Linked DNA regions of Caenorhabditis elegans. The protein of the gene in region 2 interacts with the protein of the main gene of each other region in a pairwise test. Each region holds a gene or a part of one and is shown on either strand. Other genes may lie near its edges.

Region 1 (12,225 bases), 3.5 Mb from region 2:
AAGCTTTTGATTCGTAGCAGACCTAAATTTGTTGCTTTTTTCCCCAATTTATTGTCTCAATTGAAAATAGCCCAATTGTGCTTGTGGTGAACTTTTTTTTTTGAGAAACGCATCTTATTAGACAAACAGGTCTCTTTTTCGAAAACAAAAACAATTTAATTAAGATCTTGTCCAGATTCTGAAAATTGCTGCAAACCCGACAATTTTGCCGCCAAATGCAATTAGGCTCGGGTGAGCCATATTTTGAATAATCCATTGAGCACACTGTAAAAATCAAAATTCATACAAAATTCGGATTTTAATCAAAATAACTACCGATGCCAATAGGTTTCTGGAGTTTTCTAAAACCAAGTAGACACTAGGTGATAGGGATAAGGTAAGCCAGAGATGACTGTAGAGATTGCAGATCATGAATATGAAGGAGAGAGACATAAGCACCTGGAAACAACCAAAAAATGTTGTATGTATTTCTATTGTATAAAAGATAGTTCACTGACAAAAAGCAATCTTTCGAAAAGATTATCTTTTCGATGTCCAAACATAACTTTCAGAAATGTAACTACCGAACAGTTATAATATTACAAGTTTAATTGTGTCATATGCTGGTTTGATATTTAGCAATTCCCTCACAATCTCTTTCACCCAGAACTCACATAATCGATAGACTCCCAGCTTGCAGTGACCTCCACACTGCTCAATAAATACGAAACAAGAGCCGGTAGGAAGAGTAGAATAGTAACAAATCGAGTGTATTCCAGCATAAAAGCATTGATATGACCTAGAAAACTCTTAGTTTGATAAAGAGAAAAATATTTTTAAACCTTTTCCTAAACAATCCATCGAGTTTTTTAGTAAAATGAACGAGAGGGCTCTTGAAATTGGGAGCAGAAATGCGGACATCAAAGAAACTCCCGTATATTCCATTTGTCCAGGTTCAAGCCAGGCTATTGACACTGCGATCGCAAGGGGAGCCTGCAATAAACTAGCATTACGCCGCAGAAGAAAACTCAGCCACTCCCAAACACCCACGACCGATTTTTCTACATTTTAGGCCATCTTACAATCATCCAACAGTCCGTTTTAGTCAAGCCCTTCCCATTTTGACGCGTCGAGTAGTAGAAGAGAATGCATCCGGCAAATAGGAAATCGAAACTTCTGAAAATGAAAACAACCATTATAGAGTTTTCACATCCCAGAGGTTAAATACTATTCTTGAGCGAATCGTACCTGACAAGAAACAGCTCTCCGGTTCTGTTGTGTGAGTTAGCAAGAGAGGCAATCAGAACCTCGAGTAGTTTGGCACCGGCTGCCGGGAGAAGTATCTGAAAAGATTTCCACGTGGCACTTTTTTTTTTGCATGTTTTTGAACTTGGCACAAATGAATTTTTGAAGCTACATTTTCCGCACGGTGAACTATCATATGTGTCTTGTAGTTTTCTTCTACACAAAAAACACTAAACTTACCGAAAACGGAAGATATTGACACAATACCTACGAGTACGGTAGCAGAAAAGTCTTGTTTGTGCCAAAATCCGATGTCACAATTTCGGATTAGGAGCTTTACTTGCAAATGGCGAAAACAAATTTACCTTCTTGGGAATATGCGCCTGTGGAATATAATTTGCAAAATGGATCAGTTTCAGAAAAATGAAGGTGAAGAAAAACTGGGCGAAGCTTGTGGCGATGAGCTTAATGTCCAATACAAAAAATAGTACATTATGAGCCGCCGAGAGCACAAATGCCGATGCAAGTTCAAGGAGAAAGTAGTAACCAGCTTCTGACTGTAAATTATTTTATTTTTTGAAGCAAAATAGTGAGTTATTTTTTTGGATTAAAAATCTTGTTTTTAAATCGAAAATCAATACAATTAAAAAAAATCAAACCTTTGAAACCTCCTTTTTCTCAGCTGACATTTTGGTAGCAAACTCAGTGAAATCTATGTGGAATACTGCAGGGATATGTTCGTTTCGTTTCACAGAGAAGAGGCGCATCGAACAATTTGGGGCATCTTGATGAGATTTTATCGAATTCTCGGAGGTGTGTAGTAGGTTTTATGGATTTCAGAGTGGATTTCAGAGTGAAGTCATTGAACTTTCTGGGAAACATCTGGGAAACAATATCCGACAAAAGCTCAAAAACGCATAGAAGATTTAGTTTTAATTTGATTGATCCCAATTAGTTCACTTTATGTATTTTTTCACACAGAAAAATACAATTTTCGCTCATTTTTTTGTGAAAAAAATACAAATTTCTATTCAATAATCATATTGTTCAATATATGTTCTATATATGTTCTATAATTTTTCCTTTCGCCAGCTCACTTTCCAGAGAAGCTCTCGATCCGCCCTCGATCCGCCCCTAAACCTGCCCAGCGGAGTAGCATATGAGACTTATGCCGTTTGATGAACCATGTTTAGAAACGGTTATCCGTAAACTTTTAGCTGCAAGTCTCCATAATCAAGCTCACGACATGCTCTTAAAGACATCTAAAACAACACTGTAACGTAGCACTTAGGGATCAATATTCACTTCGGAAACTCATGTCTCCGCGGATTTTGATGGAAAAGTTATCAACTTTACACGTTTGGAGTTGAAAGTTTTTTATCAAAAAAATCTTTGTTTGAGATTAAAGCATGTGAAGTGCGGTAAATGTTATTGTTAAATATGTTAATGCTGTTGATGCAATTTTTATGCTTATATCTGGAAAATTTTGAAAATTGACCCATTACAAAGGAAGTAGATGAAATTAATCTCAGACTTTGACATGACATGGTATTTTTCCGATCAAATAGTATTATCCATACCAAAATCAGAGATTGAGTTCGTCTACTTCCCTTGTTAGTGTTTGCAGTTACATTGTTGTTTTCGCTTTCTTTGAGCGTACGCCGTGAACTTGGTTCTGAAGATTCGCCGCTAAAAATTTTCAAATCACCGTTTCTAAACATGGTCTATCGACTGACATAAGTCTCTTATGCTATTCCTCTGAGCACCTTCACATGTTCCCCTCGTCAGTGGTGTACAAACGCGCTCCACTGCTAATGCATTTGATTCTCAGCGCGCGCAACCAAATTTGTTTTTCGCGCGCTCTCCTCCTAATTTAGGCCTTTTTTCTTGGCAGTGTATCGATTTTGTTCGTTCGTTGAGCGTTGCGCGTTCATTGTCATTATAGAATCGTATATAAAGCGAATAGAATCAGTCTATTCGCTTGGAATTTTTAACATAGCCTTCCAAAATTTGCTGCACCATCGTTTCATTGATTTTATCCGTGTTTCTTGAGTCATTCGTGCGTGATGTAAGAAACTGGACTCTAAATGGACTAAGCATTTTTATACTGATTGTGACCGTCTAAATAGCTTTTTTTATTCGACTTGTTTCCAATTCGGAAAGAAACTCCATTTTCTGTTCGATTTTTTAATTTTCTCTCTTGTCTCTTACATCTCAACTTTATTTTAATGCCTCTACCTTCAGACTACATCCTCAATCATGCCGTCTATGGCCGAAATCTACGTCAAAGAGCTCAGAGAGAGGGATCCAGCTACTGTCGATACTCTATTCCTCGACAACGCTGAAGATGGACAAATCGGAGGACTCACCGACCAGCTTATCAACTTGGAGATGCTCAGCATGGTGAAGTGCGGACTCACCACACTCGCCGGGTTCCCAACTCTTCCAGCTCTTACCTATTTGGATATCAGTGACAATCAGCTTGGAGACAACGCTTCGTTTGATGTTCTTGTGAAAAATGCTCCAGATCTTAAGAAGATCACACTCGCCAGCAACAAGCTCTCTTTGGATAATCTCCGGTGCTTAAAGGTTCTTCCAAATCTTTTCGAGCTCGACTTGTCGAATAATCCAAGTCTCGGACTCCTCGAGGACTATCGTGAGAAGATGTTCGAGATGATTCCATCGCTGAAGATTCTTGATGGATGCGATGTTGATGGAGAGGAAGTTGAGGAGGAGTTTGCCGGTGAGGGAGGAGAAGACAGCGAGGAGGGAAGCGGCGATGAAGATGGACCCGGACTCAGCTATCTCGAGAAGAGCCAGTTCTCCGACGACGAGACTGACGATTATGCTCCAGAGGTTAGTTTTCGGACTCATATTTCAGAAACGTATGTTCTTAATTTCAATTTTTCAGGGAGGAGACGCTGAACCACGTGGGACAAAACGTGGAGCTTCTGATAACGGAGAAGAGCCAGACAACAAGAAGGCAGCTGGCGACGACGAGTAAACTTCGACGCCTACGGACTCATCATCTCAACCTAATATATTTATTTCAAATATTTTTTCCAAAAAAACTTCCCTCATTTTCTTTATGGCTGCGCTGTACACTAAACCCCAACTTTAATGATCTGAAAAACTGAACCCAAACCACCAGACACTGCAACAACTTTTTGATGAATAAAAAATCTTTAACATTAATCTATCGTTTTATTTTCTTTTGTGGCTTTTGTGTGCATTCTATACCATATTATATTACTGAAACACTGAATTCTGAGAATGCGTATTGCGCAACATATGTATATCTTGCAGCGAAAACTACAGTAATTCTTTAAATAACTACTGTAGCGCTGATCAGATTTTACGTTGTTTATTTTCTAATTTTTTGATGAAAACTATAAAAAAGGCATCGAATTGACAAAAAACACGAAAAATTAGAGGAAAATTAAACATCGCCTGCCACAATCCTAAAAACAATTTGTTTCGAAAGTATCAGCTACAGTAGTCATTTAAAGAATTATTGTAGTTTTCACTACGAGATATTTTACGCGTCATATATGTTGCGCAATACGCTATTAATACGGATTCTCAGAATTTATTGTTCCCGTAATAGTTCTGCCTGTGTGTAGCGCAAACTTCAAAAGTCAATAAACTCGAAATTTGAAAAATTGCCAAAAACGAGACTCCGAAATAACGGGCGCGCGTGTTGTTTAGCGCTTTCAGTCCACATTACTTTTCCCCCACATTTCTCCCAATTTGTTAGGTTTTGCTCATATTTTCCCACATTCGAAGTATTGAGAGTTTATTTTTCCATAAAAGAACCGATTTTCTTCCTAAATCCAGCTGTGCGGTCATTTTTCACGTAGGCATATTTTTTCTCACAATTTTAAGGATTTCTGCGTTCTTTATCAAATGAAAGGTCCCATTTCTTCCAATTTTTAGGTTTTCTGGTTCTCTGCGTTCCATCTTTGAATGAATCTTCGATTGTATTTTTATATGTAGGTTTTCTACTTTCATGTCTAGACATGTCTCCCAATAACGTTGATTTTCTTTTAGTTTTTAGGTTTTCTGCGTTTATTTTCATTAAGAATCAAATTTCCTCTTTCAGAAATGTCGAGAAAACGAAAAATGTCACAGTCGAAAAAGCCAAGCTTACCACGCCGTCCAATTATTCAAAATCTCACATTCATGGGAACTGAATTGGGATGCCCATTGTTAGTTCAGGACATGGATTCCAGTAAGACTAACAAAATTAAAAGAAATAAATAAATATATGTGTATTTCAGTGAACAAACGTGGTGAAGAGCCTCCGGAGAACGCTGACGTGAAGCGATTCATATCGTTCGCCACAATTCCAGCGTGTTGTCTGCATTCAAAAGGAACCGGCCAAGACGCTCAGTCAGTAAATTTACATATTATTATTGCAATTAAATCAATTCTTTTTAAATTTCAGGTCCGCAGACGAGTCGGCAGGTTACGCAATGCTCGACTTTTTCAAACTTTACATCTCTAATGGATTCAGAAGTAAACTTCTCAATTGTGCAAGTGATGAAGAAGTAAAAGAGTTGATTCCTCAAGTTCAACCACTTTTTGAACAATTCAAAGCTGCAATTGCAGCTGATTTTCTGTCGATCAGCAGAGTTTGAACGTCATTTCGAAATTTTGATTTAAAAAAGTTTTTCAGTGCACTCAATTCGAGTTGACTCCAGCAGCGAGGGCACGCGGAAAAGAGCTTAAAAAGCGTGTTCTGACAAATTTAAAAAACGCGGGAGTTGGATACACAACGGTTACTCCTAAGAAAACTTTAAAAAATGATGATGATGACGTGGAAGAAGACGTGCCGAATGAAACAGTGGACCCCAGTGATGCTCCAGGATCATCATCCAGTGATGATATTGTTATCGTTAGAGAAGTTGCGAGCGAAGCATCGCCCAAACTTCGCAAGATGCGAGAAATGGACGGAGCGAAGAAGAAGCTCATCGAAGAAGCTACAATGCGCCTGGGGTACTTTAATTCTGCGATTTTTGTCAAAAATTGTAATGCGAACCCGCGACGCAGATTAAATTGCTGAAAATTCATGTATTCCCGATTTTTTCGCTGGTTGTTCTGAAATTACGGGAAAATGCGTAATTCTAGTAAAAATAGACTCAAAATATTGAGTATAGTTACTAGGATTTTTGACATGTTAGCAAACCGATATATATCTAGCTAAACTTAACATTTAATTTTAAAATCCGTTGGAAATTAATTTTTTTAAAATAAAATAAAATACATGTAATGGGGTTATTCAAGTAATATAGCAAAATGTATGTAAATACATTTGTGACGTCACAAATGTATTTAAATACATGTTTTTATATACTTGAATACAGTCGTGACGTAATTTTTCTAATTTTCCGACACTACTTGAATAACCCCATAAGGTACAAAAATTGCTGCTAATCGTCTTTCAATGAAATGCTATTTTTTTAGTGAAAACCGCCGATCTCCATCTCTCGACTCTGACACCTACTTTGGAGAATGTCAACAGCTGCTTCACGGTCCAACAGAAGTCTACTGTGCCCGTCCCGAATCGAACCAGTTTGTCCAGCAGTACGAAGAAGCGAATTCAACTGAAGCATCTGAGGATGAAGACAAGGAAGCTGTACCGATGAAGCGTGCTCGAGTGGATATAGAAGAAGACGACGACGACGTCATTGTTCTGAATATGACCACCTCTTCTGGAGTTTCGGATAAAAAAGGTAAGTCAGAAGTCCAATCGCAGGCTTCTTAATGAAAAATTCAAGACGTTTCAGGTTCTGAGGACGAAATAGGTGATATAGTTGACGAGTGGGATGCAAATGACGAGGAGGAGAAGACTGACGAACTGGAAGAGCTTGAAGATGACGATATTCAGATAATTGAGGCAGGGGATCAAGGAAACGGTGTAGAAGAGGTCTCAAGCACAGTGATTTCGGTGGAGACTCCCAACAGTTCTTCAGATGAGAATAAGATCTACAATGGTACAGTTTGAGAGAAATGTATTCCTCACCTTACAGTTTTTGGTACTTGTGTATTACATGTCCTCGTTTTTAAAGTATTTTTAAATTATAAAAAATAAAAACGTGTACCATAGTTTTGTATCTGTAGGCTTAGGAAAGAACCATTTCTTAGCCTAAAGAGGAAAAGTGCATACAAAATTAAATTTAAATGGAGAAATTAATGAACATTTCATCTAATTTAAAAAGGATGACATGTAATACACAGGTACCCAGTTTTTGTTGAAATTCGAGGTGGTTACTGCAAGGAGCCAGAAAACACGTTAGATACAAAATCGGCCTGAGAGAAAATTATCAACTTTTCAGGCGTTTAAGGCGAAAAATCATACATTTTTAACACCAACACAAAAAAGATTGCTCCGAAATCAAAAATTGTAGGATCCTCCTCGAGGAGTACACGAATTGCGTATATCGACACTCGCCCAACTGTTCCATTTTCAAATATATAATACAAAATTATTTCCAGGCCACCAAACGCATCAAATTTTCCGAGAAGTTCGCCAGTTGCCAGTCAATTATCAGGCACGAACCATCGGTGTAGTGCTCAACGAGCGGATCGCTGGCTCCGTCGAGAAGTTTGTGAACTCGATCACCAAAAAGTCGTTCAATTCTGTCAAACAATTGTCTAAATTGGCATGGGATCACTACCTGGGAAATGCACAACCGGATTTTGTGTTTCTCAAGAAAATGGAGGCTCGTCAAAAGCTATTCTCGGAGATCAAGAAGCTGTTCCCTGACACAGAGATCAAGCTCCAGACAACTGGCTCAACAGTGAACGGATGTGGATCTTTCAACTCTGACATGGATCTTTGTCTATGCTTTCCGACAAATGGATATAAAGGACAAGTATGCGACGATTTTCACTGCGACAGAAATTATTCGACGAAAATTCTTCGCAAAATTGATAAGGCGTTTCGAAGATCGCATTGGAGCCATCCTCTGAAGAAGATAATCAAGACAATGCAGCTGGTGCCGGCGAAAGTTCCAATTGTGAAAATGATTTTGAATGGAGAATTTGATGGAATTGAGGTTGATATTAATGTTAATAATATCGCAGGAATATACAATTCACATCTCATTCATTACTATTCATTGTTAGTTTTTTTCTCAACAAAAAATCAGATATTTCAAAATTTCGGCTGAATTTAGATAAAATCTTCAATTTTGTAACCGAAAAAATTAAAATGTGTGCCAAGTTTGAAACGCAATTATGAAATTTGCAAGATTTGTTTCTATTTTCAGAACGGATGCCCGGCTCCCAGCTCTGGCCCTACTCGTGAAGCACTGGGCGATGGTTACTGGAATCAATAACGCACAGGACGGATTTCTGAATAGTTACACGACGATTCTTCTCGTTGTGCACTATCTTCAATGCGGTGTCACTCCAGCAGTCATTCCGAACTTGCAATACTTGTTCCCGCACAAGTTTGATCGAAAACTTCCGCTTAATGAGCTTCTTCTGTTTGGCGATATTGCGGACAAGTTGCCCAGTAATTTGAAGTGCTCTTTTTATTATCTGTCTTACTAAATTTAACCATTTTCAGCAAGTCCTCCCAACACGTGGTCGCTTGGAGAGTTGCTCATCGGATTCTTTCAGTACTATAATGAATTCGATTTCACTAATTTCGGATTTTCAATCCGCTCGGGTCAAGTCATTCCTCGGGAAAATCTCCCCCGTGATCTCATCAACAGTCCGATTGTCGTTGAGGAGCCGTTTGATGCGATCAACACAGCCAGGTGAATATTGGAAAAAATGACCGTGTGTCGAGGATAAGATTATTCAGTTTTTGGCTAAAAATTGATTTTGAATCAATTATTTTTTGTGTTCACGCTCAACTCAACATCTAAAATAGTATAGATGGTTGATTATAATTCATAATACCAAAAAAGAAAACATCAATTTCCTGTCTCACTTCAAACACGGTTTGACTGTTAATCACTGAAATATAAGCTAAAAACTAAATTTTCAGAACTGTACGCGATGTTAGCCACATGAAATCTATCAAATCCGCCTTCCGCTGTGCCGTCCAAATAATCTCTTCAAATAAAAATTTTACAATGCGTGATCTCGGTGTAAACGTCACAGAATTTGACTAAAAAGTTAATTTGTTCTTTTTTTTTATTCGCTTCTTTTTTCTTATAGTGTTCGTATAGTGTTAATCAATACATACTTTGTAATATTATTTAATTGGAAACGCACAAAAAAGTCGATAAATTAAAAAGAAACTCGAATTACTCTTTAATTCAGGTGTCTGAAGTCAGGAGAATCACAGATCGATATTTAAAAAGAGAAGTCATTTGAGCTTAGACGACGGCCTCGCGTTCAACAGAGAATGGAGTGTCGACGGCGATGTGTCCAGAAGCGGCGATGATGACGTCTTGCTTCGGGCGGTCCCCAGGAAGCTTCTCGGTCTGTTCGATCTTGCGGACCACATCCATTCCTTCGAGGATCTTTCCGAAAACGACGTGGCGTCCATCGAGCCATGGGGTCTTGACTGTGGTGATGAAGAATTGGGATCCATTGGTATCAGCTCCAGCGTTGGCCATCGACAACCATCCGGCTCCGTAGTGCTTCAGCTTGAAGTTCTCGTCGGCGAACTTCTCTCCGTAGATAGAGCGTCCTCCGGTTCCATCTCCACGGGTGAAATCTCCTCCTTGAATCATGAAGTCTGCGATGACTCGGTGGAACTTGCTTCCTGGATATCCTTCTCCCTGAAAATTAAAAAAAATATTTTGAAACTCGATTTCTTGAGCTGCAAACCTTTGGCTTCTTGGCGAGCTCAATGAAGTTGGTGGCGGTCTTTGGGACGGTTTTTCCGAAAAGTCCGATGACGATACGTCCGATTGGTTTTCCTCCAATTTCCATGTCAAAGTAGACCTTGTCAGTGACCTTTGGTCCTTTGGCATCGTCTCCCTGAGCAAGAGCTCCGACAGCGAGCACGGCCGCCACAACAAGAAGCGACTTCATACCTGCAAAAATTATGGTGTTATATTGCGAGCAAAAAAGTTTAAAAAAAAGCAATAGTAAGAAAATGTAAATAGTAAGAAAAGCAATAGTAAGAAAAAAGCGAAATATCGAATTGTTTGATAACAATAATTAAATACCACATTCGAAAAGACATGGTGATAAGAGTACATTAGACATTTTATGTTTAAAAATGAAAAAGTAAAGCCTTAAAAATGAAGAAATAAATACAAAACAGTTACCAGCAGGAACAATTGAGATGAGTTTTCTGAGAATGACCCGTGCTGAGAGGGAAGACGAAGAAAAAGAACACGTCAGCACACATAAACCACACGGTGCAACGTGGATAGAGCGATAGAGAGGGCAAACTGCAAGTGAGTGAGTGGAGGGTGACGAGAGAAAGAAGGGGAAACCGAGTAAAAGGTGACCAGTGACCATTTGGTAAATGTATAGGACAGGCGGTATGGTGGGGTGGTGGTAGTGTGGTACCAAATGCACACAAACAACAGCGCAGTAATATACTCGGGACGAGGGGGGGGAGGTGAAGACGAGACGAAGATCGATTGGCCTTGACCCGTTAATCGGAGAATGTGATGAGTGGCCGGACGCGAGGCGTCACTTCGGGGCTTTCAGTGTTTTTTGATCGTATGTTGTCTGGAAAAATCGATTGTTGTAGTGGAGAAGGATTATGATTTTAGATTTCACACGGCCCGAGAAGTGGTACCTGTACGCAATTTGTCTACCGTATACCTGGACGTTTGGGCGCGTGTATCTCAAAAACGGTTGGTCCAGTTTTTTTGTGATGCATATAAAAAATGTCCGAAATTAAATTCTAAATTTTTTGGACCAAAGCTTTTTTCGTTATCACGCGCCCAAACCTGGTCTACACTCAAATTATCAGTAGAGCGCATTTGCATGGATGTACCACTTGCCGGGCCGTGTTCAAAAAAAAAAAAAATTCTGAGAATGCGTATTAAACAACATATTTGACGCGAAAATATCTTGTAACGAAGACTACAATCGAATATTGCTGTCACTATTCGAATAGAAATACATTTCGAAAATCGAGCCCGTAAATCACAAGCTCTACAGTATTCTTTTAAAGAGTTACTGTAGTTCTCGCTACGAGATATTTTGCGCGTCAAATATGTTGCGCAAAACATATTCACAGAATTTTGTGTTACCGTAATTCGGCTGTAATATACTTATACGGATAATTTGTTGCGAACTCAGCCCGGAGCGCAAAGTGGAATCAATCGATTTTTTTTTAAATAAAAATTTAAAAACAAGTTATTATTAAGTAATCATTAGATCAGATTTTGTCAGCATTAAGATCAGAAAAAGCGGAAAATTTTTCTTCAAGTTTCTTTAAAATTTGAAACAAAAACCTACAATTCCCACTGCTATCCGCTTCTTCTCATCCTCACTGACTCCCTGTGGAATAGGATCGATAGAAAAATTGGAAATTCGATTTCTCAACAATTTCTGCTTCATAAACTGTTGTACGAGCACTCGTTTGCAGTGCTGCTTGACAGCCAACGCCAAGTCGAGCCACGTCCAATTTTGCTCATGGTATTCACAGAGGGGGAATATGAAGTTGAATTGGTTCACATCTATCAGGTTTTTGTCCTTGTTTCCCTATAAAAAAAACTCATTCATTTCATTTTCAATTTCCTTTCTGTGCTCTCACCTTATATGATACTACAAATGAAACTTCCGGAATTTTGATATACATAAAATGATTGACTTTGTCGGCGCGCTCCTTCATTCGATCAATGTCATCCTTTTCGTGAAGAGATTTCTGAAGCATAAGCTTCTCCGACGCAGATTTATTGCTTCGCATGCTAAGTGTGCTGGCAATTTTTCGTGTGAATGAGAAGGTCTGAAATATGAATATTACAATTATTAATTGGATACTGTTACAATCTCACCGAAACTTCTTCCTCATGATCCAGGTTATCATTCGTATGAATATTCCTGCCAGGAAAAAAGAATCTCATCATT
Region 2 (10,283 bases):
TTCCGAAATGCTCAAAATCTTGGGGCGAATTTAGGCGGTAATTGGGGTGAGCAGGGGATGCTCTTTTGGCTCAATTTTGCTAGAAAAATCTAAATTCTTCAATTTTCACCGTCTAAAACCAAAATGTTCAGCAGTTTTGAGCCAAATTCTGCTCAAAATGCTCCAAATTTGGCTCAGTTTTTTAACGCTATTCCTCTCAAAAAAAAGCTCAACAGTTTCGCGAGGCGATTACCTTGACACTTGAAGCCTTCGTCGCCGGAGTCATTCCACGAATCCATATCGACGTCTTCTTGACGTCATCTCCAAAGAGCATCGATTTTCCACTGCCGGCAGATGAAGAAGCTGCTTTTGATGGTGTTGCCTGTGGAGTTGATGCCTCCACTTTTTGCAATTGTTTCGGTGTTGGCTCAGCGGCTTTTGGCTCCTTTTGCTCAATGGGCTCATCCAGTGGATCCTCGAGCAAATCCTCTTCATAGTCCAAAACAATCTCATCATCCTGACTGACATTATTGATCGATGAGTTGAGAATGATCACTTCTTCCTCAACTTTCTCCTCAGTTTCCATAGAAATTGGCTCATTTTGCTCCAAATTGTGTGGAATTTCTTCTGGCTTCTTCTCCTTTTTTTCCACTTTCTCCTCCGCTAGCGGCTCCGATTCTTGTAGAGTTGGCTCAATAATCTCAATATCCGACGATGAATCATCCTCCTCAAACTCGTCCTCACCGTCTTGCTCATCCGATTTCTTTGCTTCTTCAACTTCCATTGGCACCACTTCGGGCTCATTTTCCAGCTGCTCCACGGGCTCCTCGACAAGAACAACCTCCGGCTCCTTTTCCGGCTTCTCTTTCAGCTCAACAGGCTCCGCGACTGCCTTTTCCACCTCAATAACCTCTGCCACCGGCTCCTCAACTGTAACGACTTCTGGCTCAACAGGCTTTTCCTCGGGCTTTTCCTCAAGCTTCTCCTCGGGCTTCTCCTCAAGCTTCTCCTCGGGCTTCTCCTCGACAACTGGCTCCACGGCCTCAGGCTCCGGCTCAACTTGCTCAGCTTCCTCAAACTCTTCATCCTCCACCAATGTATCATCTTTCTCATCACTTGGCACCTCCAACTCATGATCCTCAATAATTTGCAAATCGTGTGAATCCTCCTCCTCCTCTTCTTCTTCCTTCTCCTCGACTAAAACTGACAAAAAAAAACTCCATTGATTGTTCCTGATGAAACTGACCCCCCAATAATCAAGTAAATCTAATTCCAACAATAGAAGAAACCACCAAAAAATCAACGAAAAAAAAAAGCCTAAAAAACCAACCATTCTCATCATTTCCTTCGTCTCCTGCACCCTTTTCCACTTTTTCTGCTGCTGCTGCAGCCGCTGCTCGTGCCATTTCGTTGCTCCGGCGTGTGCTCTTTTTCATCGGGCTCACTGCATGCTCGAATACGTGATCTGCTGGATCGAGTCCCTCATCTCGGAGAGCCTGAAAAATGCGGTTTTAGGCTTAAAAATTAAATTTTGAAGGCTATGTATGTCAATTTAGAAATTTTTTTTTTGAGATTATTTGAACGTTTTTGGCGAAAAATGGTCGATTTTCAATCATAATTATGGTCATTTTATCCTGTAGGAAATTAAGTGAAAATCGATGTATTTACTGTGGAACAAAAAATCAATTTCCACTTAAAACCCTATAATTAAAGGGTAAAATGACCAGAATTATGATTAAAAATCAACAATTTTTCGCCAAAAACGTTCAAATATCTCTTCCTCAGGAGGAGTACACGAGAGCTGCGTAAATCGACAAAGCCTGGAATCCACGTGCCTTCTCATTTCACACGTGGTGTCAGAGTGTCCCATTTCGTCTTGACCTACGTAGATCTACAAAAAATGCGCGAGAAGAGACGCATAAATCTAAACTGTTCAGAACGCGATGACGTCACATTTTCTGGGCCAAAAATTCCCGCGCATTTTTTGTAGATCAAACCGTAATGGGAAAACGGGCTCCGCGAGACAAACGAGACAACCGGAACCCAGCAGCTAACAAAGATAGAAATCTCGCCGCCGGAAACTTCAAAAGTGACTGACTGCTGACAAATTGCCACCCACCCATTCACCAAAAGCACCAAAAAAAAAAAAGAACGAAGAGCGCCATGTTAAGAAACTCCGAGTTTCCTGCGTCTCTTCATCCCGTAAACTCTCTCCGAACACCCTTTGCAAAAATGGTGGCAAAAGAAGAAGAAGAAGCAGTATAATTCATCATTTTTCCTCAACTGCGCCGCCATCCTTCTCTATTTCTCCTCCGTGTTATGTATGTGTATATATGTACACAAACTTTAGATGAGACGGGGTGAAAAAGGGGAAAAAAAAGAAAAAGAAGAAGAAGAAGACGTGCCAATGACATCGAGTCTGGAGCTTCACGCGAGCTCTGGTGCCGCTGCTGGAACAAAAACAAAAAGCGGGCCCCCCAAGGCGCTGAGTCAAACAAAATTTATTTAGCTCGTCGGCGGAGCTGAAACTAATACCAATATCGGAAAATGGAGAAAAACTTTATTTTTCCACAATCATTATTCCCACTGTAAACACTCGACTTTTCGCGCATCTCCCAAACATTCAAAAAAAGAACTGGGAGAGCACACGAGAGAAGAGACACAGAAATGGAGCACAAAATTGGGCGTGGCCTTCTTCTTGGGGGGCTCCTCTCCCGTTTTGCGGGTTTTCTTCAGTCTTCTGAAGAGTCTTTGACGTCCTCTTTTGCCTCCTATTCTTCTTCTTTCTTTCTGCTAACAAACACTAGAGATAAACGAAGAAGTGAACGCACACACACATACATGCAAGTTGCACAAATTATTTGTGCTCACGGAGCAACAATTTCAACGACTCGTGCCACACTTCAACGTGCTCCACAATCGTTGCTCGCCACTTCGCCCGACGCAACGTCTGATTCAGATGACAAGATTGTGCGGATCCTCGTCGAGGCGCTTCGTCGCAGTGACATGAGCATTATCGTCTCCGAATCTTTCGATCAGTGGGCCCGATTGGCCGTTGAGGTGAGTCTATGGGCTCCGCGAGCAGTTAATGGAAGCTTTTTGTAAGAGCTCGGCTGCTTTGGATTTATGGATTCCGAAATGAGAAAGAGCTATACGAGATTTAAAAAAATCCCATAATTCTGTCATTTCTAGATGGAGCTCAATTAGGATAATGAGCATTTCACCGTGGAAATGCATAATTTAGCTTTTCGTTCCCCAGCATAAAAATTCCCCCTAAGCTCAATTACCAGATTGATTGGCGAAAATGGGAGCTAGAATGCTCAAAAATGCTCAAAATTGTCTCAAAACTCCTATTTTGGATATTTTAGGACAAAATTTCAAAAAAAAATTATCGTTTACTTGGGGAACACACTATTAAGCTTTCTGGTAGTGAATTCGATCATCCTTGAACGCAGAATAAGATCTTGGCATAATCTTGCCGTGGGAAAATTGAACGTTCACGCGTGGTGTCAGAGTGTCTCATATGGGATTGATCTACATAGATCTACAAAAAATGCGGGAGAAGAGACACAGAATTCTCAACTGATTTCGTATGGTTAAGAACGTGCTGATGCCACATATTTTTGGACAACAAATTCCCGCATTTTTTGTAGATCAAACCGTGATGGGACAGCCTGGCATCACGTGTGTTCACGATAAAGCAGGAAATGCACCGAAACCAAGAATCGCTGCTCTTTATTCCAGGCCAAACGTCTTGGGCTCATTTCATTTGTGGAGGCCGCCTGCCCGTCAACCATTAGCATCTCTTGTCATGCGGCTCTCTCAACCGGACGTATCAATCCAGAAGTCACGTTTCGAAAGGTACACAATATCCATTTTATGGCTCAAAAAACAACAGGAAAAGCTTTCGCGTCATCAAATCCCGAACCAGTAAAGGGAACAACAACAAGCCCATTTTTCCTGCTCTCGTTTTTTTTTCCTTTTTTCTGTTCATTTCTCTTGCGGTTTTCTCCCATCAATTTTCCCCTATTATTGCTTATGAATACAGCAATAGGGGAATATGTATGTTAAGAGAAGAGAGACACACACAGACAAATGCTCATCATTTTTGACGTCGAGAAAAAGGATATTTTCAGGTTCTACGAATCGTCGTATCCGGAAAAGTAATCATGTGCCGAGCAGTGTTCGGCGATTCGTTGAACGAGTGTAGAGACGGAGGAGGCACGGATTTCGAGATGGATCGCTACACTTCTAGGTAGAGACAGGCTTTTTCGCGGCCAGAAATACTGAAAACCCGTCATGTAGATTTACGCGAAATTTACAGTTTCTAGCTATAATAGCTGATTTCTGAACCATTAAAAAATGTTCCGTCTCCGTTTGATCTACAAAAAATGCGTGCTGACGTGAAATTTTTTTGGGGAAAAATATCCGCATTTTTTGTAGATCACACCACACGGGGGAGTACACTAGCGGAAATCGACAGTTTCACAAGAAGAGCTCATAAGCTCTTTTTGAAACATAATATTTGAGCAGAACGATTGGTATTTCAGCACTACCAAATGACAAGTTAACCAGATTTCAAAGCTTCAACCCAATCCTCTCTTTCCAGATTCTTCCTAAAACACAGCAACTTAGAGAAAGCGTTCGACCAACTCGCGTCTTCCGGCTACCGACTTATTCATTCCAACACATTTGCGCCGTCCGAGATGCCAAAACATGCGGCGAAAGATGACTCGCAATTTATTCATCATTCTCAATTTGTTTTCCATCGACAGCCAAAGGTAGGAAATTGACGATGAAAAAAGTTAGAGCTGAGAATATCGAATTTTGAATTGAAATTGGTCTAATTTGATGTTAGGAAATCATTTTTTTTGTGAAAAAAAAAACACTAAACGTCGGAAAATTTCCCTGCTAACATCAAATTAGTTGATTTTTCCTTCAAAATTCGTCATTTTCATTGCATTAGCTTGTAGAAACCCCCACAATTCGTCCAGTAACGCCACTTTTCCCGGAAGTTGGTGAGGTGAACAAAAGGGAACTTTGTCTCTATCCGCTTAAAAGCTTTTTCCTTCTTCTTCTTCTTCCAATTTTCCCTTCAAATCAAATCACGGGCGGCTTCATCTTCTTTTCCCCCCGCTTTTACGTGCTCTTCCACCGGAACGTGTGTGCTCACAAGGGGAGCTCGAAAATGTCTGAGCCGTTGGAAATGGATTTTCGCCGGAAAAAAAGCAGCCAATTCTTCTTCAAGTTCCGTTCATCTCATTAGCCAGCGCCCTTTTTCTATGCATTTTGAGACGCTAATTTGATCACACAAGTGGTGAATAGAATGCACAATTTATGGGGGGAGGGGAGCCCTTTTTCTTTTTTCCGGGAAAGTTGGGCCGGAAATTCGAGAAGTATCGCTTTCAATTGGTGGGAAACCGAATTTATATATCGATTTTTTTGCAGCTTTGCCCTCCATCGGACACTGGTAGCAACTAGCAACGTGGACTTTTATTGCATTTTTCAAATAAATTGTTTTTTTTTGTAATTTTTCAATTTTGACAGGAGATTCGACGATAAATAAATACATCACACATTTTTACCTTATTCAAACGAACAGTGAGCACAACCTTGACTCCTTGAGTACTCAAACCACGCTTCTCGAGCTCTGTCTGCAAAAAGTGCATTTTATAGGGAATTTCCAGTGGAAAAAATGATTCACTTACCTTCAATTCACTAACACGCAAGTCATTGATCAATTTTCCGCTTTCCAACGGCATATTTTGCTCTGAAAATCGAAAATTTTCGGTGGAAAAAAATCGATAAAACACCAACTCGGCGACAACATGATTTTCGACGAAAATAACGGGCTTTTTTTTAGGCGGTTCAAACGATTGCCACGTAAGCAAATTCTTAATTTGGCGTGAAAAATTTAAAAAAAAAGAGAAAAATTGGATAATTTTACGCAGAAAAGATGAGAAATGAGAAAAAAAGAAATGCGCAGCGTTCGCGCAAGCTCACGAGAAACGCGCCAGCAACCACTGGTTGGCGCGTTTCGTGAAAAGCGAGGGAGATTCAAATTAGAATATTTTTGCAGGCCAAAAACGCAATTTTTCAAACGAATAATAAGAGAAAACCCATTTATTATAAACGAATTATGTAAAATTCAAGAAATTTATCGAATAAATTGAGGAAAAACTGCTAAAACTGCTGGAATTCCATGTCAAATTTCATAATTTAAATGTAAGCTCTCATTCCAAGCTGATCAGGTTCCTCCAGGAACTCGCAAATCGAGTCGACAAAGAATTTCGGGTCATCAGCATGAATCCAGTGGTTCGACCAGGCAGTTTCGGCGAATTGCACCTGTGAATTTGAATTTTTGAGCTTATTTTTCAAAATTTATCGATTTTTAGCCTATTGCTTGTCTTCACACCCTTCTAGATTATTTTCCCGCCATTTTTAAAGATCAAACTAGTCGAAAACCTTATATTTCCTTACCATTGGGAACATTTTCTCTACTCGATTCTTATGAGCCGCCGGAAGGAATCCCGAGCCAGGAGCCCGCTGGAACAGAGTCGGACCATCGAAAACTCCGAACCGAATGTCGTGGCTGAGCAGATAAATGTATGTCTCATCGATAACATTCAGATTGCATATCCAATGAGCTTTTCCGTTCACATCTTCACCCAAATTTCCGCGCACAAATTGGTAGAGCAGCACCTTTGACACTTTTTCGCCGAGCTCCGCCATCACTTCGCTTCGCGATTTGTTCATATCAGTGGCGATCATTTGTTTGATACATTCGAGGTATTCTGGAATAATTGGGGAGTTGTATTTCGAATTGATTTCCGGCAAATCGGCAAACTGCCGGAGTGGAAATTTCCGGCAAATCGGCAAATTGCCGGATTTGAAAATGCTCGGCCTATCGGTAAATCGGCGAATTGCCTGATTTCAAAATTTCCGGCAAATCGACAATTGCCAAAATTGAATCTTTTTGGCAAATCGGCAAACTGCGTGAATTGAAAATTGCCGGAATTGAAAATTTCCGGCAAGTTGCCTGATTTCAAAATTTCCGGCAATTCGACAATTGCCAAAATTGAAACTTTTTGGCAAATCGGCAAACTGCCGAAATTGAAATTTCCGGAAAATCGGCAAATTGCCGGATTGGACAATTTCCGGCAAATGGACAAATCGGCAATTGCCAAAATTGAAACTTATCGGAAAATTGGAGAATTGCCGAAAATAGAATTTCCGACAAATCGGCAAACTGCCGGAGTTGAAATTTCCGGCAAATCGGCAAATTGCCGGATTTGAAAATGCTCGGCCTATCGGTAAATCGGCAAATTGCCTGATTTCAAAATTTCCGGCAAATCGGCAAATGCCAAAATTGAAACTTTTTGGCAAATCGGCAACTGCCAAAATTGAAACTTTTCGGCAAATCGGCAAATTGGCGGATATGAAAAGTTGCCGCCAATTCGCCGATTTGCCGATAATTTTCAACTCCGGCAATTTTTCGATTTTCTGGAAAGTTGAATTCCGCTGACAATTTGCCGATTTGCCCATTTCCCGGTAATTTTTAATTCCGGCAATTTGCCGATTTGCCCATTTCCCGGTAATTTTTAATTCCGGCAATTTGCCGATTTGCCAGAAAAATTGTTTGCCGCCCAGCCTCTTCTAAATACACTCCATGGGAGCCCATGGACCTACCAGCTCTCTTCAACGGATACCCCAACGGTGACATATCCTCGACAATCAAACTCTTAATCCTCGAAGAATATTCTGGTGTTGTCGCCAGCTGTGTAACCGCCTTTCCACCCATCGAATGTCCATGAAGATTCACTTTATCCTCTCCAGTAATCTTCCGAACCCAATCAATGAATCCGACCAAGTCATCAGCCATCTCCTCGTAAGTCATCGATGCCGCTTTGGAAAAGCTCCCATGATTTCGGTTCTCCACTGCGAACACCATGCATCCGAGACGTTGACTGAGATCTTTGCCGACTTGGATCCAGTTTTCTTTTGTTCCAAAGAGCCCAGGTACCAGGATTAGTGGGGTTCCTTTGGATCTCATATTTCCAAATGTGAGATTCGCCAGCATCATCTGAAATATCGAGAAATCTAGAGCTAAAAATTGTATTTAATTATTGATTTTGACTCACTGAAGACGTGGAATCCGAGTGAGGGAAGCGGCGAGCAAGGTTGAGAAGTTTGGAGTTCATTTTTCCGATGATCTCCAGCAGAGCTTTTCCCGGGCTTTTATTTCGTTCTTTGTGATCAGCGACCATTTGAAATTTCCATTTTAATGGGCGGTCTGTCTGTTAGCAAAATGGAGGAAAGATCAGAGTCTCGTCTCATCGTGATCTGGCGTGGGAAAATTTCAAGATTTTAGAGGTATCTAGCTGCCTACCTCGTACCTACCTACACTCCCCGAAAACCTACAAGCAAAGGGGTAGGCCATAGGCAGGCAGGTATGCTTTAGAAGCCTTCAAATCGGTTTTTACCCTGTAGTACCTTTTTCTTTGCAAATTTAAAGCAGTTTGCTCAGTTTTTTGAAGATAATTTTGATCATATAGAGAATTTTTAATTTCGGCAATTGCCGGTTTTGTGATTTTTCGGCAATTCCGGCAAAAATTCCGACACTTGCCGGTTTTGGAAATTTGTGACAATTCCTTCAATTTCCGGTTTTGTGAATTTTCGGCAATTCCGGCAATTCCGGCAATGGCCGGTTTTGTGAATTTTTGGCAATTTCGGAATTTCGGCAATTGCCGGTTTTGTGAATATCGGCAATTCCGACAATTTCGGCAATTGCCGGTTTTGTGAATATCGGCAATTCCGGCAATTGCCGGTTTTGTGAATTTTTGGCAATTTCGGCAATTTCGGCAATCGCCGGTTTTGTGAATATCGGCAATTTCGGCAATGGCCGGTTTTGTGAATTTTTGGCAATTCCGGCAATGGCCGGTTTTGTGAATTTTTGGCAATTCCGGCAATTTCGGCAATTGCCGGTTTTGTGAATGTCGGCAATTCCGGTAATGGCCGGTTTTGTGAATTTTTGGAAATTCCGGCAATTGCCGGTTTTGTGAATTTTTGGCAATTTCGGCAATTGCCGGTTTTGTGAATATCGGCAATTCCGGCAATTGCCGGTTTTGTGAATTTCCGGATATCGACAATCTTTCAGACTGATTTTTAAACATCTACATGCCCAAACCCCCTTCAAAAATCCAAAAACCAATATCTGTCTACATGCAGAATTGTCTATTCATACATATAACTCAGCATTTTTTTTTCCAAAATTTTTTTAGTGTAGGCTACAGAAAGGTACAGTAATCTTTTGCAAAAATGGTTTTAAAAATTCTTGAAACATATTTTTTAAATAAAAATTATTTTTGAAATTTCGTGACCCCCCCCCCCCCCGTGAATCTATTTTTCAAAAATAAATTTCTCCCGTGCCACGTAGCAAAACACCAAACTGTTGGAATTTTCAAATTCAAATTTATTTCGAAATAATCAATCGATAATTTCTACGCGAAAACAAATGCACCGCCCGTTCCGTTGCCCAGTCTTGGTGACCGGCGTCGTCGTCGGCGGAGCCGCTCTTCTGGCGATTGCCGCCTACTACTACTGGAGCCAGAAAAAGAAAAGCTCTGATACTTCATCTGCCACGTCATCGGAGTCCAACGATGTTGTCATGATGTCATCATCGGAGCCCAGAGCCGATGGAGGAGCCGATTCGAAGGCAAAGTTCAATATTGAGGATGAAAATGTGAGAAGAGTCTGCGAGAAGCTGTTCATGGAGCAGATGGATTTGGGGGAAGCTTATTTGGAGGATGGTGAGTTGTAGATGAGAAAATTTTGAGCATTTTGGCATAAAAAAGTAAGGAAAATGTTGAAAATTCACAAAGTTAGGGAAGTTTGAAAAATAAATTCTCAAAAAACATTTTGCTTATGTTTGCAGCCGTGTTGCTCAGCAAATTTTACAGATATTAAAAAGTATTCAACTACAAGCAAATTTTACGCTTAACATTTTGTTAGTTTATACTTTTTTGATATCTTCAAAACTCGCGGAGCTACTGACCTGGAGAGGACATATTCCACAGTTTTAACGCAAAAATTTCAAAATTTTTTTGCATCAAAATTACATAATGAATTTTCCAGAAGAAACCGAGGAGCTCGGCGCAATCCACATGGCCAACGCAATCGTGCTCACCGGAGAGACTGCTCAGCTGCTCAAAGTGCTCCGCGGCTCGATTTCACCGGCTCACTTTGCCAATATTCAAAAGTACCTCCCATCGGCTGACTTGGTATGGAATGTTCAGCCTTTACTT

The links.
Region 1: the proteins of phm-2 (region 2) and gldr-2 interact in a two-hybrid assay, tested with the Caenorhabditis elegans proteins (2 studies listed by BioGRID).

What each region holds. Positions count from the first base shown.
Region 1 is NC_003279.8:15,031,049-15,043,273, forward strand, and holds gldr-2 (PAP-associated domain-containing protein), read left to right. Parts: upstream 1-4,960; 5' UTR 4,961-5,216; intron 5,217-5,320; exon of another isoform or gene 5,321-5,326; 5' UTR 5,327-5,328; coding exon 5,329-5,455; intron 5,456-5,504; coding exon 5,505-5,616; intron 5,617-5,671; coding exon 5,672-5,858; intron 5,859-5,902; coding exon 5,903-6,222; intron 6,223-6,690; coding exon 6,691-6,959; intron 6,960-7,004; coding exon 7,005-7,220; intron 7,221-7,722; coding exon 7,723-8,350; intron 8,351-8,498; coding exon 8,499-8,746; intron 8,747-8,800; coding exon 8,801-8,993; intron 8,994-9,226; coding exon 9,227-9,353; 3' UTR 9,354-9,439; downstream 9,440-12,225. Other genes in the region: F33H2.8 (TPT domain-containing protein), read right to left, coding at 160-264, 316-438, 654-778, 822-972, 1,062-1,155, 1,228-1,322, 1,590-1,781, 1,884-1,991; F33H2.3 (Acidic leucine-rich nuclear phosphoprotein 32-related protein 1), read left to right, coding at 3,484-4,080, 4,136-4,228; cyn-5 (Peptidyl-prolyl cis-trans isomerase 5), read right to left, coding at 9,561-9,968, 10,018-10,224; bltp-2 (FMP27/BLTP2/Hobbit GFWDK motif-containing RBG unit domain-containing protein), read right to left, coding at 10,837-10,875, 11,614-11,859, 11,912-12,103, 12,153-12,225.
Region 2 is NC_003279.8:11,513,024-11,523,306, reverse strand, and holds the start of phm-2 (Pharyngeal muscle protein 2), read right to left. Parts: upstream 5,750-10,283; 5' UTR 5,742-5,749; coding exon 5,688-5,741; intron 5,634-5,687; coding exon 5,565-5,633; intron 5,560-5,564; exon of another isoform or gene 5,461-5,559; coding exon of another isoform or gene 5,428-5,460; intron 4,761-5,427; coding exon of another isoform or gene 4,589-4,760; intron 4,235-4,588; coding exon of another isoform or gene 4,116-4,234; intron 3,841-4,115; coding exon of another isoform or gene 3,724-3,840; intron 3,334-3,723; exon of another isoform or gene 3,205-3,333; intron 3,040-3,204; coding exon of another isoform or gene 2,821-3,039; exon of another isoform or gene 2,692-2,820; intron 1,476-2,691; coding exon 1,310-1,475; intron 1,183-1,309; coding exon 233-1,182; intron 1-232. Other genes in the region: F32B4.5 (KCTD8/12/16 H1 domain-containing protein), read left to right, coding at 2,821-3,039, 3,724-3,840, 4,116-4,234, 4,589-4,760, 5,428-5,460; abhd-11.1 (AB hydrolase-1 domain-containing protein), read right to left, coding at 6,199-6,324, 6,460-6,773, 7,669-8,062, 8,121-8,180; F32B4.2 (Peroxisome biogenesis protein 3-2-like), read left to right, coding at 9,494-9,788, 10,114-10,259.